Schizosaccharomyces pombe: one gene and its partners. Changing the gene in region 2 together with the main gene of any one other region gives a genetic interaction. Each region holds a gene or a part of one and is shown on either strand. Other genes may lie near its edges.

Region 1 (5,355 bases), on a different chromosome or scaffold from region 2:
ACGAAATCATAGCTTCCTCAACAGCCTTGGCATCACGTTTGAAACGTGGACCAAATTTTTTGCGATTAACTTCAACCTCGAATTGTTCAACAACAACAGGTTCAGGAAGAGCCTCTTGAACTACTAAAGGAGTCTTGGTAGCTTTACTGTGAACGCTAAGATCATAGGCACTACGATCAGCGCAACCTACACACTCGATCCAGCCGTAAGAGCATTGAATTTCGGCATCCCAGCAATCGCAAGCATAATGAGCCATTTCATTGCTCATATGTTGCCTAAAACGAACACGGTTCATATCAATACCAATTTTCTCCAAGAATAAGCTGATACGGGCCATAAAATAACCTAATGTAGTGTTATCAACAATTCCTTTCTTGACAGCATCACCTATGGGCATTTCCAAAATGTCAGTCTTTCCTTCTAATTGGACACCACGGGGCAACAAACGAAGGGGCATATGAGAAACCTCGTCAAATCTATCATGCTCTTTGTTTTTAGGATCGACAAAGTGTTCGACTTCGGCCATCAAAAACTCACGAACACGAAGCAGGCCACTCCGAGGAGAAATCTCATTACGGAAGGCTTTACCAACCATAGCACTGGCAAAGGGAACTTTGCCGTTATTAAACTCCAATAAACGGCTAAAGTTTAAAAATTGTCCTTGGGCAGTTTCAGGTCGGAGGTAACCTTTCAGACCACCACTGGGACCAATTTGAGTTTCAAACATTAAGTTGAACTGACGAGGGGTTTCAAGCTCACCGTTGGTTGCAGGGTTACGAATGTCATACTTCTTCATGAGCTCACCTAATTGATCTCCATCATAGTTGTCAATTTGGGCAAGAATAAACTCGTATTCCTCAACAGTCTTGTCATCCAGACGAGTCGCACGAATTTCCTTTACCTTCTTCTTACGCTTCTTCTTGTCATCAGATTCTTCAGGCTGGTCATTGGAATTCTGCCCACGAGCTTCCTTGTCACCCTTCAAACGGGCTTCCAAAACCTCTTCAACCAAGTGGTCGGCACGAAAGATTTCACCGGTAGCAGGGTCCTTACACATCCAATCTGCAAACTTATCAACATGCCCACTAGTCTTCAAAACTTCATGAGGAGTAAGCATGGAGCAATCAACCTCCAGCATGCTTTCTTCGATAACAAAGTGCTTTCGCCAAATATCAACCAGATTAGATTGAAGTGCACTACCTGGTGGGCCATAATCATACAATCCACTAATTCCACCATAGATTTGAAAAGAAGGAGAGAAGAAGAATCTCTTCTTCATTAACTCCTCGAACTGAGTTCGATCAAAAGCTGCTGCCTTTGAAACTTCTGTCATTTTTCTACTGAAAATCCGTTTAGCAAAGGCTGTGCAAGAAGAACGAAACGCTTGAAAAGAAATTATGCAAGCAAGGAGCGAAAAGCTTTAAAATGCCTGCTTTTCGCCTGGTTTTCAAATGTTTACGGAAGATAAACTGTTCAAAGCTAGAAATTTTGCTAGTTCGTAAAATTCATAGATAGTGCATTTTGTTAGGCTACATCAATTCATATTATGCGTTGTTATGCGAACTTTTGGACTTTCCTTAATTTAAATACGGTACCTGTAAAAAGTACTTGAACACTCTAAATCTTGTTAACATTTTTTACGGAACAACAACGATTTATGTTAAAGATCGTCAACAATCTCACTTCACTGCCCAAAGCGTACAACATGGTCGAAGTATAGGCTGAAACTTTGAACCGCTTAGAAACTACCTTCTACGGGAAAGAAGACGCGATTTTACGTTGTATTATAAGAGAGGAATCCTCAAGTATTGTTGAAAGGAATCGTCAAAGATTGGGTAAAAATGTCGTTTGTCATTTGTCATAATTCCCTTTTAGAAATTTAGTGGTTTCCTCATCAGTATCGCTTTTACCCGTAGATTTCAAAACTAATTGCTTCTTATCTTGTCCATAGTTAAGGATTTCCGTTAACTTCAAACCAATTTCTCTGTTTCTTGTTCTGTTGTTGGTGGGTTTGGCTGGAAGTATTGACTAAAATAAATGGTCCTAAATTACATTCAAAGATGGTTCAAGTGGGTGATACCAACTTTTGGATTCTTGGCAATTCATTATATTTACATTATATCCTTAACTATCATTGCCTCTATCCTACTTTTTACCGGAGGGACCACCACGAAAATCAAGTATATCGATGCTTTATTCTTAGCTAGCAGCGCAACTACCCAAACAGGCCTTAACAGTGTTGACTTAAATTCTTTATCTATCTGGCAGCAGTTTATCCTGTATGGATTTACTGCTATTACGGTTCCTATATGGATGCACGGAAGTATTTCCTTCATCCGGCTGTATTGGTTTCGACGAAAATTTAAAGACGTTGTTCGTCAAAATCGTACTCGAAAATTTCAGAGAAAGCTCCGTAAAAGCTTAATGAAAAAAAGCGAGGATGACGAAGAACAGGGTGTTCGTGGTAGAAAAATTCGTGTAATGTTACCATACCTACATTCACTAAGGAGTCCAACGTCTCTAAAAAACTTCTCGAGATTTGACACGCATGACAGTACGAACAATCCGTACTTTCCTGACAACCCCCCTTCTCCCAAGGCAGATATATCTAAAGACGAGTATTTTGGAAAGTATCTCCCAAAAAAGTCTGATACGCTAGACATGGATTTGGAAAGTCACAACATGACTTTTCATGACTATGAACCTTCCATTGAAAATAAAAATTACGATTTTGGTAGTTCGCATTCAGCCTCGATGCAAATGTATGAAATGGATGACCTTCATCCCCGACTTCGTAGACAAAGCTCTTTTATTTCCTCCGTTAATCCTTTAGAGGCTGACGACACCCGTGAAACTTTATCTGAAGGCGCCTTAGTTCAGGAATCTCTCCCTATGGCTTATAGTTATTCTGATACTAATTTGGTTGTATCGAGGGATTCATTTACTCTCACTGGGGACGACAATCTTTTCCCAGAAGGTGGTTTAAGGCCTGCCAATACAATAGACGGAATAGTAAGGTCGTCTCTGTCTTCTTCCTCCCTATCTAAAGACACTGAACCATCGACAGTTGACATGCATATTGCTTTCACCGGACTTAATAAGCCCACCATAGAGCGTGAACGTAATCTTAAACTTAGAAAAAAAAGTCGTTTTTATAAAAAATCTTTACGTTCCAGATTTTCGCGAGGACTTCATCGTCCAATACGTTGGACAAAGTCATTCACTTCTAACCGACGAAACTTGACTCTTGAACGAGTCCTTTCTTCTGCCTTTGCTAAAAAACGTGAGCCTTCTATTTCATCAAGACACACTACTATGTCACTTCCCTATTTGTCGTATAATCCTACTGTCGATCGTAATTCTGCTTTCGTTGCTTTGTCTAAAGAACAGCGGGACGAGCTGGGTGGAATTGAATATAGAGCTTTGAAATGCGTCTGCTCCATGGTTACCCTTTATTTTATCATTTTTAATATTGCTGCCTTTGTGACCTTCATTGTTTTTGCTTATACGGCAGTGGGATCGCGAGAGGTAATAGATTCTTATGACTTACGTCGTGGGTGGTGGGCGTTATTCTCGTCTGCTTCTTCATTTAATGATTTGGGGTTTTCTTTAATACCATCGTCTTTTGTGCCAATGAATCGAAACATTTTTCTTTTGTTGATTTCATCTTTATTCATTATCGCAGGTAACACGGGATTCCCTTGTTTTTTTAGAACATTCATTTGGACAACGTATAAGCTATACCCTTTTAGTTTTGAGAAGAAAGAAGCTATGGCATTTCTCCTTGATCATCCTCGACGATGTTTCACTTTATTGTTTCCATCTGGAGCAACCTGGGTCTTGTTTTTTGTTTTGCTGCTGCTTAATGTCATTGATCTGGTATTGTTCATGGTCTTAGATACTGGAAGTAAAGCAGTCGCTAGCCTTCCTAAAGGTATTAGGGTTGTAAATGCAATATTTCAATCAGTTTGTACAAGAACCGCAGGATTCACGAGTGTATCAATTAGTGAACTTCACCCAGCAGTACTGGTCAGTTACATGGTTATGATGTATATTTCTGTTTATCCAGTTGCTATCAACATGAGAAATACCAATGTTTATGAGGAGCGATCTTTGGGTGTTTACAGAACTGAAGATGATGAGGGGAAATCTTTCTTAAAAGATCACCTTACTGAACAATTAAGTTACGATTTATGGTATATTTTTCTAGGGCTATTCATCATATGCATTTGTGAAGGAGGTAAAATCTCCAATCCTCTAGATACCGATTTCAGTATTTTTACTGTCCTTTTTGAAGTAGTCTCTGCTTACGGTACGGTGGGACTTAGTACTGGATTAAGCTCCTCAAATTGTTCACTTTCAGCAAGATTTACTACTATAAGTAAACTAGTTATTATAGCACTTGAACTGCGCGGTAGACATAGAGGTTTACCCAGGGCTGTTGATCGAGCCATCCTTCTTCCTTCTGAAAAAAATAATCTGAAAGAAGAAGAAGATTATCAACGTCGTCACGGATTTTCCATAGACAACGCACGTGGCAGTATTGCAGTTTCTCGAGACTGATATTTCTTATCACGATCATGTATTATATTTGTAAATTATATCATCTAATAAATAGTACGCTCGCTAAATTTCATACTCCTGATCGATACACCGTTTGTCCGCCATTTCTGAGTTGAATTGTTTCCTTCGACGAAAGAATTTGTAAAGCCATTTCTAACGCGTGTTGTGAATATCCATGCTAAAATTATGTTAGACTTAGATTTAATCAATAAACATACCCCATTTACGTATTCTCGTATAAGCATACGGTAACTCGCCTGAAACCCTATAGGTAACCTTTTTCTTAAGCTGGCTTCAATTTTTTTTACTTCCTCAGTAACTTCAGGCGAACTTTGTGTAGCAGCAGCAAGTGTACTGGTCAAAAACAGTCGAATCGCTTCAGTAGCGTGAGCTTCAGAAGCAATAGGTGATAATGACATTTTTGCAAGGGATTCAGTAATTCGTATGATTGCCTCTAATTGACGAACAGTGATTGGAATGGTAGAACGCGAGTTACTGTCCTGCTCTGACTGATGAACACGTTTTCGAATTGCGACAAATTGACTAGATAGCTTTTCAGCTGCCTCTGCATCAAGATTAGGTGCACATTTGCTAAATCCATTAGTAACTAATATTAAATTTGGTATACTTACTGTCTACAATAGTTTATGTACCGCCGAAACTTATCAAAAGGAATTTCTCCAATTGCTAAAGTCTCACTAGATTCTTGTAAATTGGTATGAAGATTAATAACGTGACGGGCAATATTTCGATCCTTTGTTTCATCATGTTCATCCTTAACAATAAATATCA
Region 2 (4,744 bases):
CACAAACAATCCCGAGTAAAAAAGCAGCTAAGTCTCTTAGTGCATAATGCTCGTGATTATTAGGATCACTGCCAAGGCGCTTCGCGACCAAACAAGTAAGGATGGATGGCATGAGTTGTTGGACGTAAGGCTCTACAAAAAGGTTGGGGTTATCAAGAAGGGCCCAGGCCATGTGCATTAAAGTAGTAAGAACCACAAGATTTCCTAAGTTTCGAGTTACAGAATCCGATAAAAACATTATGAAGTATGGTAAAAGTTGGTGTAATCCGGGGTCGTCACGTAAACTCGATAGGGCAGCATCACGGAGCTCAACATTAGTTTCATCAAGCAATGCACTGGTAATACGCTCAAAATAAAGCTGTAACTCTTTGGATAGCACATGTCGCACCAACGGTTTTATCTCAACGTTGTCCATCGAAGTGACACCGTTTCGAGCTTCTTTAGCAGCAGTTGAAGCACCTGGCATAACCCCTGAAGTACCCTTGGATGCCCATTCTCCAACTGTGTGATCTGAGGGAGTTGGATTTTGAGGAATGGCTGGCTGCACACCTTCGATGGCCAGCCAGTGTGCACTGTAAGAAATGTTTCTAGGGACTTTAGGGAGAGGAGCGTTTATGATTTTTTCAAAATCCACTTCCTCATCATCAAGGTAGTAAAGGGAATTTTGGCCTGCACCTACAGCGGCTTCATGAAATTCTAATGGACGAGAATTATTGAAGCCGTATAACGGCTCAACATTCAACGTCCGTAACGCTGAAGAGATATCTGCGCTAGTTAAAACAGTTCTTTTAGAATGAACCATAAACTTAGTGGCTTCCTAAATCAAATACTGTTAGAGAATTATGTTTAATGTCAGAATAAAGCAGACTATCTAGCAAATTGAAAGGCATCGTAAAAAACTAGCAACAATTTTTTAGTTATTTTAGCCTCTTCCAAAGAAAGTAAAATCTCATAGTCTACTTTCACGAAACCTACCTGAACCACCTGATGAATTCTATATTCGAGATCCATTGCAATAGCTGCTGCTGGTTCATCGGCAAGATTGCCAATCCCAAGCATTTCAGCAACATCTTTGATGGATTCAATATTCCATACTGTCAAGGACATGACTTGGTAGTAAGATGAACGATTTATGGATCAATGAGTGAATTGCATCTGCAGAGAAGTAGTTAACGATGTTAGAAGCAACTGCTTTATTTAACATACTTGTCAGCAATACTACACTACGCTATAATACACTACGTTGCGTATCACTATATGTCACATGTTCTAATTATATATCGTACCATGTATGATACGATATGGAGATTGATCTTAATGATAATCTATTAAGATCTATATTATCTGAATACTATAAATAGAGCTACTGCTGAACCTCGTTCCTCAGTTCAGTTATGAGCTATATTAGTGATAGGTAACATTATAACCCAGTTAATACAATACCTATACTCAGTTGCTACTTATACAACCTGTGTATTGTAATATAATAGATCACAAGGAAAACTCACCGCAGTTCTACGTATCCTTAAATCAGATACCAAACTGCGTAGCTTACAAGACAGTGAGCTACACTAAAATCGCTATTAAACATTACGTTACGCATCAAAATACACTACATGGAATACCAATTAATCTCAATTTGTTGAACAATAGCAGAAGACTATATGTTTGTTTACTAAAACATCCATTGATATTGATATAAAATAGTAGTTAAAATTAGAAGTCTAGATTGAACAGAGCATCATTCTCAGTCCAGTTATTAGCTGTTACAATGATAAATATATTATCACCCACCACTCACAATACTGTATAACGCAATATACTGCTTCTACAAGCTAAATATAATTTAATGTAGCCTTAAAAGGAATTAGAAACTTGAATTGTTGACACTTATCTAGTTGCACCGCAAGTCACCCCGCATTGCTAAACGTATTTAACCATCGTTATTTTTCGCTAGTCGTCGTTGGGCTGCGCATCACCATTTCAGGCACGATTTCAGTGATCAGATCCAAAAACCCAACCGGCCACCATCATGCTTGGGCATAATATATATGAAGAAGACGATGCATTTAATCCATTCGCAGATTCCGTTTCTCCACTGAACCCTCCAAAAACCGACCAAGAGCCCTCAGCTGAAGGAGTGGAAGAAGAGTCGCCGAATGTTCAAGCTTCTCCACCAAAAACTCATATCTATACATCTCCTAGGAAACGAAGCGTCAATTTGAAATCTCTTCCGTTTGAAACGTTAACTTTGGATTCTGCACCTTTAGGTCCCTTGCAATTTTCTGATGCACCTTCTATGGCACCCGAAAACAACCGTTTGGAAGTTGGTTTAAATACAAAAATTAATCCGTTAAAAGGATCTAGTCCCGCTTTGAATGCAGATTTTTCTGCAAATAAGCCTTGGATCTCAGAAGTGAACTCCTTTTCCCCTTCTCCTATCGGAGCAACGGAAAATCCCACTATACCAAATTCAGAACAGACGGTAGATACTTTAGACGCTGCCTCATCTTCTGCTCCAAATTTTACACACACTGTCTCATCTGCCTCCTCCCAGAAGCAAGGTTCAACCTCATTAACAGATACGGAGAATCAGAAGGCGCACCCGGCAGCGGCACCTCAATCTCTTACCCCGTTTTACATCCAAGTTCATGACCCTCATACCGTTAAGGAAATCACTAAATCGCATACCGTATATTCGGTTTCCACTCGTTTAGAGGAACACAATCAACCTTCTGTTAGCAATGTGACTGTACAAAGACGATATAATGATTTTGCTTTTCTTTATCAATTGCTTTCTAATAATCATCCGGGTTGTATCATTCCTCCCATCCCGGAAAAGCAGGTTGTAGGCCGTTTTGATGATGAATTTATTGAACAGCGACGAGCAGCCTTGGAGGTAATGCTTCGCAAAATATCTGCCCATCCGGTTCTACGTGATGATTACTCATTTAAGTTGTTTCTTGAAGCAGAGACATTTGACCCTAGAATGACACATCGTACTACTCTCATTGAGAGTTCATCAAGTCCTTTGCGCTCAGGTCCCTCAACATCTGGTTTACTTGACTCATTCACCTCCGCCTTCCATACCTCTGGATCTTCTAAATTTTCCGAACAGGATCCAATTTTAATTGAAGCAAAGGATACACTTGATTCGTTGGAAACTCAACTAAAGTCGGTTTATCACGCGCTTCTTTTATCCATAGATCAACGCATACAGTTCGCTTCAGCCATCCATGATTTTGGCGAGGCTGTTGGAAATTTATCTTTAGTTGATTTAGAGCCCACCTTATCATCCAAGTTTGATGGTCTTTCCCAACTCCAGGTAGAGCTTCGATTTGTACAAGAACGTAAGGTTGCTCAAGACAATTTGACACTGGGCACTACATTGGAGGAGTACATTCGGTACGTGGAGAGTGCCAAAAATGCCTTTACTACACGTCAAAAGTTGTGGCAGACATGGCAATCTTCAGTTCAAGCTGTTTCTCGTGCTAAAACTCAACTTGAGAAATGTAAAAAGCAAGCGAAATCTCAGCAAAAATCACTCCCTTACTTGGAAGAACAATACGAAAAATATCGAGCAAAAGCTGCTGATCTGGAAAAAGAGTTTTCGGAATCAACAACTCTGTTAAAACGAGATTTGAGTTCTCTCACAACCAGTAGAGTTGATGATCTCAAAGCTAGTGTTGAAACGTGGTTGGAATCTGCAATTGAATCTCAAAAAGAAATTATTGAGCGTTGGGAATCATTTTTGGATCAATAACGACTCTAATTTTCCCTATGCACTCTTTTAATTTTTATGTTTTTCTTTCGTGTAATATTTCTATCCCATATTCGTATTAATGTATTTCCAACTACCGCTTTATTACTTTGCACTTCTCTAGCTGACGATTTCTATTCTATTCTAATTATTTTTTTGCAATTTCCCTTTTCGTCCATGGTACTTCATTACTTGAAAAGAAAATGTACCTTAAAATATTGCATTCTATCTACTAACCTTACAGCAACCCTACACTCCTTTGTAAATAAATAACTTGTGTATGTTTTTAAAAATTGTCTTTGTTACTCAAGCCTTTTTATATTTGTTTATGTTTAAACGCTTTTTCCTGCTTAAATTGTGTTACTTATATGTAAAAGCGTATGCAAAAATTTGTTTAATAATATGGTGTATGACTACTTTATGTTACATATTTATTTGTCTTAATTTAGACTCGTGATTCAAAGCTCTCAAAACGATAGCTCAAAAAAATGTTCATGTAGGAAACGTTTATCATTTTGTATCCTAAGGTTTATTCATATTTTTTAAAAAAAAAAGTGGATTTCGCTTTCATTAATAATCTCGTTATATCAATAGCTAATCACATAATCAAGTGCGAAATGGAAAAGCATTTAATCAATTCAATGCCGGATATCTGACTGTTGAATCGCAATGTCTTCAGCCTTTTTGAGGAAAGGTAAAAGCTTTCCATATTCTTCATAAGTTTGGGCGGATGGTTTATTCATGATTAGTTCAATTTTCTTGGACTCATCCCAAGATTTGTTTACATATTCTTCAAAGGTAAATCCTTTTCCATTCATTGCATATGCAGCCTTGATAGCGCCCTAAATTGATGGTCAGTAACTATTAATTAACAACATTTTCCGTTCACTTACGCCAACAGCACAGGCATTACTACCGCCGTGTTTTAGCCGATAAACATCACATCCCAAAACCTGGCTAATTTTAAACACAATAGCCTCGTTA
Region 3 (4,303 bases), on a different chromosome or scaffold from region 2:
TTCAATATAATTGTGGAAACTACGGTGGTGCATCAGATTTACTTTATCATTTTCGTGCCTTCAGTAAAGACCCTGAATTAAACGCCTCCGCGACCTGGGGTAAATTTGCTTCTGAAATTTTGACTGTTGATTGGGATGGGGCTATGGAGGAATTGGGAAAACTTCGCGAAATGGTGGACTCCAAAAGCTTTAAAGATTCTGCTGTTCAATTGAGAAATCGAACTTGGCTCCTCCACTGGTCCTTGTTTCCTTTGTTTAATCATGCAAATGGTTGTGATACTCTTTGTGATTTGTTCTTCTATACTCCTTATCTCAACACCATCCAAACCTCTTGTCCCTGGCTATTAAGATATTTGACTGTCGCTGTTGTTACTAACCAAAATAATGCAAATCAAAAACCTCGTAACCCTAGGCAATCTTATCAAAGAAGGATGCGAGATCTCGTACGCATCATTAGCCAAGAAAACTATGAATACAGCGATCCTGTGACCTCTTTTATTTCTGCTTTGTATACTGAGGTCGACTTTGAAAAAGCTCAGCATTGCCTCAGAGAATGTGAAGAGGTTTTGAAAACCGACTTTTTTCTCGTATCTTTGTGCGATCACTTTTTGGAAGGTGCTCGCAAATTACTTGCTGAGGCATATTGCCGTATTCACAGTGTCATAAGTGTTGATGTGCTTGCTAACAAGCTGGAAATGGACAGTGCTCAATTAATACAACTTGTTGAAAACCGTAATAATCCTTCAGTTGCCGCAGCTTCTAATGTAGCTGCCGATCAAAGTACTGAAGATGAAAGTATTGAATCTACCTCTACAAATGTTGTTGCTGATGATTTAATCACGGAAGCCGAAACTGCTACTGAAGCCGAAGAGCCCGAACCCGAGGTACAATTTGGGTTTAAAGCTAAGTTGGACGGTGAATCAATAATAATTGAACACCCTACTTATTCAGCTTTCCAACAGATTATAGACCGTACAAAGTCATTAAGTTTTGAAAGTCAAAACTTGGAGCAATCTCTTGCTAAAAGCATTTCGGAGTTAAAGCATGCTACTGTTTAGACAAGATTAGCAAATAGTTTAAAGGTGGAATATATTTCATACATTAAAAATAAAACATAGGAGTTTAATTAATTCGCTAATTTTGTATTTTCAAACAACTCGTTATTGTAGAAGATGACTGTGTACTTTCCTATTTAAAGAAACGTGCTCATTGAATATCGCTATTAGTATATTAATTTTGGAAATTTGAAACATGCGGGGATATTAAAAAAATATATATTATCTAAAATTTTTTTATTTTCTGAAGTGCATAAAAAATAAATAATTAATGCAAAAGTATTAATGCCGCTATCTCAACATGTAGAAAATGTGTCGGTGGAATTAACTTATGTATATATTAAATTGCTGTAATAATACTAATCCAATTGCATTAAATTAAATTTCCCTAATTGATAGATAAATAAACGATGCTGCAACGGTATTACCGTAATTTAATCGAAAGACTCGCTACAACTAATATGTAAGTTTGGTGTTTAAATTTCATATCAAACCAGTACACCACGAAAGCTTGAGACAGCATCCGTTTCCGTGCCACCAACATTTATCAACGCAAAGATATCTCTTGAAAAGAATAGATTTTTGGTCAGTAGTAGGACCAGGACCTAAAGATGCCAAATCCTAATCAAGCAATAAAAAAAGAAAATGAACCTATTCAAGTTGAAAACCCTACGGAACTAGTCAGGGATGATGGAGAAGTAGAGGGTTATCAGAAAGAAGAAGGAAAATTCAAGCTAGTTCTTTCCATATTGAAACAATGCATTGGTGTGAAGGATATTGCTAGTCTTCGCTTTAGTTTACCTGCACAATTGTTAGAGCCTGTTGGAAACTTGGAGTACTGGAACTATGTTGATCGACCTGACTACTTTGCAGTCATGGGCGATTCTGATGACGAACTTGAAAGAATGTTGGGCGTATTGCGTTGGTGGTTTACAAAGGACCTTCGTTTTGTTCGTGGTCGTGTGGTAAAGCCTTACAACTCTGTGCTTGGTGAATTTTTCCGGTGCAAATGGGTCGTAACAGATCCTACAGTAAGAGAAGATCATACATTAGATCCAGATTCTTCTCAACTACCTACATACAAGACGGAATATTCCGAAACCACCAAATTCCCACTTGGTAAATCATATAGGCCAAAGGCCTCCCGTACAACGTCCAGCCAAAGCGTTGCATCTACCATGACAAAGTCTTCCACGAAGACTTCTAAGAAGAAATCTTCCAAAAAAAATTCTAAATCTGAATCGAATCAAGATTCAAGCAATGATCGTTCTTCAACAGCACCTAGCACCGCTGAATCAAATAATGAGCACCTTTCTTCCTCTCAGAAATCAAAACATTCTATAGTCTTTATGGCGGAACAAACCTCACATCATCCTGCTGTAAGTGCTTTTTATGTTACTTGCCCTTCTAAGGGCATTGAAGTATACGGTCAGGATCAAATTGCTGTTGGATTTACTGGAACTTCTTTTAAGGTTTGCGCTGGCGACCTAAACAAAGGTGTATACGTTCGCTTTAACAAAAGGGATAATGAAGAATACTTATGTACGCATCCCTCTGCCTCCGTTGGCGGTATCCTTCGTGGTAATTTACATATCAACTTGTTGGACAGTACTGTAATTTTGTGTCCTAAAACCCGTATTAAGACAATTATTACATATATTGAAGAAAGATGGCTTGGAAAACCGAGAAGCTTGGTAGAAGGCGTTTGTTATCGATATGACCCATCCAATGACACGATTGATTCAATCAAAGCAGTTCCCAAAGAAAACATCTTAGCTACTTTCAAAGGAAATTGGCGGAACTGCATATTTTACTCTTATGCAGGAGAATCTGAATCCAGAATGCTAGTTGATTTGAATGAGTTGGATTTAGTTCACAAGCGTTGTCCCCCTTTGGATAAACAATTTCCGTTTGAATCCCGGAAAATTTGGTTTCCAGTCACGCACAATATTTTGGCCAAGCATTATACTCAAGCTACGAAAGCAAAACAAGAGATTGAAGACCAACAACGCCAGGCGTCTGCCGCCAGAGAGGAAAGCCATACCGAATGGAAGCCCAGATTTTTTGTTCCAGATGAAAAGGAAGGTCGACCGACCCTTACTGAAGAAGGTAAGAAGGTCCTTGAGCAGTCCTTGTCAGATGAGTACATTCACGGAAGTTAATGTCTTTCATAAAACGTTAATTTTTAACCCTTTTCACAAACTCTTTAATTGGCGTGCATTTAGAACTTTTTCCCTACCTTACTCAATGACTCACTTTTATTTTCACAGTGTTGTTTTTGTCAGTATCTTTTTATCTTCCTCTATTTATCACTTCGCAATTCACTTCTTGTTTATCCTATCTCTTTGATATAAATGCTATTATAACTCATGAGTTTTCAATTCTGTAACGTTGGTAATGCTGATTTGTGTTTTCATAAAATGATGGCATGAGTCTTTGCAATTAATTTGCTTAGCTTGGAACGTTTGCTTAGAAATTCAAGATTACATTTACATTTTCTCTTATTTTTTAAGTTTGCTTTCTTTTTGCTACTTCAGAATTTCTTGTTCTGAACTTTCTTATCTATTAAATTGAGTTATTTTTATTCATGGTCCACAACAAAGTTGTTGCTAGCGATTTAAGCTAACTAAGCATACTGCATTATTCGTCTTGTTTTATAGGTAATAATAGCATTTCCTCGTATTGTGAAATCTTCGTGAGTTACTAGGTTAAGCTTTAAATGTAAAAACACTTTCCAACAAGCTAAGCGCATAGTTCGAAGATTGTTCAACGTACAATGTTAATTTCTTATATTTTTGTACATATGTATTCAAACAACTTATGATTTGTTGAAAGGTAGGCGAGTTTTAGTTTCTTGGTTGAAAGAGTATATCTGAATCTATATTTGCAGAAGAAAAGAAGAAAACATTTGTGATTCGATCATATTTCCTTAATAAAATCCTGTCACCATAGGTCGCATCTTCTCAAAATACGATATCATCTAATCGAGGCTGTCTCTGCCATTACTTGTTTCATACTTGGTGTCAGGATATTAAACTCCCACGAGCTTCTTAAGCCCAACAACAACAGCACACAGCTTGTTAAAGGTAGGTTTTCAAAATGAGTATAACTTTATCTTCAAGGGGCAGAAAAATCCGAAAATTACCTAAGAGTTTGGAATTCCCTCTGGATGGGTCAATCGATAAACTCCGGGACGAAGTGTCCTCAGTAACACGGCTACCAGTTGAGCGTTTACGCTTCAGCACAGC

The links.
Region 1: mutations in vps5 (region 2) and trk1 together harm fitness more than expected from each alone (negative genetic interaction), as found in Schizosaccharomyces pombe (one large-scale study listed by BioGRID).
Region 3: mutations in vps5 (region 2) and oss1 together harm fitness more than expected from each alone (negative genetic interaction), as found in Schizosaccharomyces pombe (one large-scale study listed by BioGRID).

Annotation. Positions count from the first base shown.
Region 1 is NC_003424.3:2,817,464-2,822,818, reverse strand, and holds trk1 (plasma membrane potassium ion transmembrane transporter Trk1), read left to right. Parts: upstream 1-1,747; 5' UTR 1,748-2,037; coding exon 2,038-4,563; 3' UTR 4,564-4,633; coding exon of another isoform or gene 4,634-4,741; 3' UTR 4,742-4,781; downstream 4,782-5,355. Other genes in the region: glycine--tRNA (Gly) ligase Grs1, read right to left, coding at 1-1,333; MCM complex subunit Mcm5, read right to left, coding at 4,634-4,741, 4,782-5,154, 5,196-5,355. UniProt on the Schizosaccharomyces pombe protein: Together with TRK2, defines the major, high-affinity potassium influx transport system. Involved in maintenance of the proper sodium/potassium ratio in the cell and in regulating the plasma membrane potential.
Region 2 is NC_003421.2:700,575-705,318, forward strand, and holds vps5 (retromer complex subunit Vps5), read left to right. Parts: upstream 1-2,022; 5' UTR 2,023-2,032; coding exon 2,033-3,763; 3' UTR 3,764-4,244; downstream 4,245-4,744. Other genes in the region: TATA-binding protein-associated factor TAF6, read right to left, coding at 1-817, 976-1,107; xks1 (xylulose kinase), read right to left, coding at 4,399-4,602, 4,654-4,744. UniProt on the Schizosaccharomyces pombe protein: Required for efficient sporulation target of PtdIns(3)P in vesicle transport required for onset of the forespore membrane formation. Plays a role in vesicular protein sorting.
Region 3 is NC_003423.3:935,455-939,757, reverse strand, and holds oss1 (oxysterol binding protein), read left to right. Parts: upstream 1-1,576; 5' UTR 1,577-1,666; coding exon 1,667-3,217; 3' UTR 3,218-3,745; downstream 3,746-4,303. Other genes in the region: int6 (translation initiation factor), read left to right, coding at 1-1,058; tsc13 (enoyl reductase), read left to right, coding at 4,155-4,303.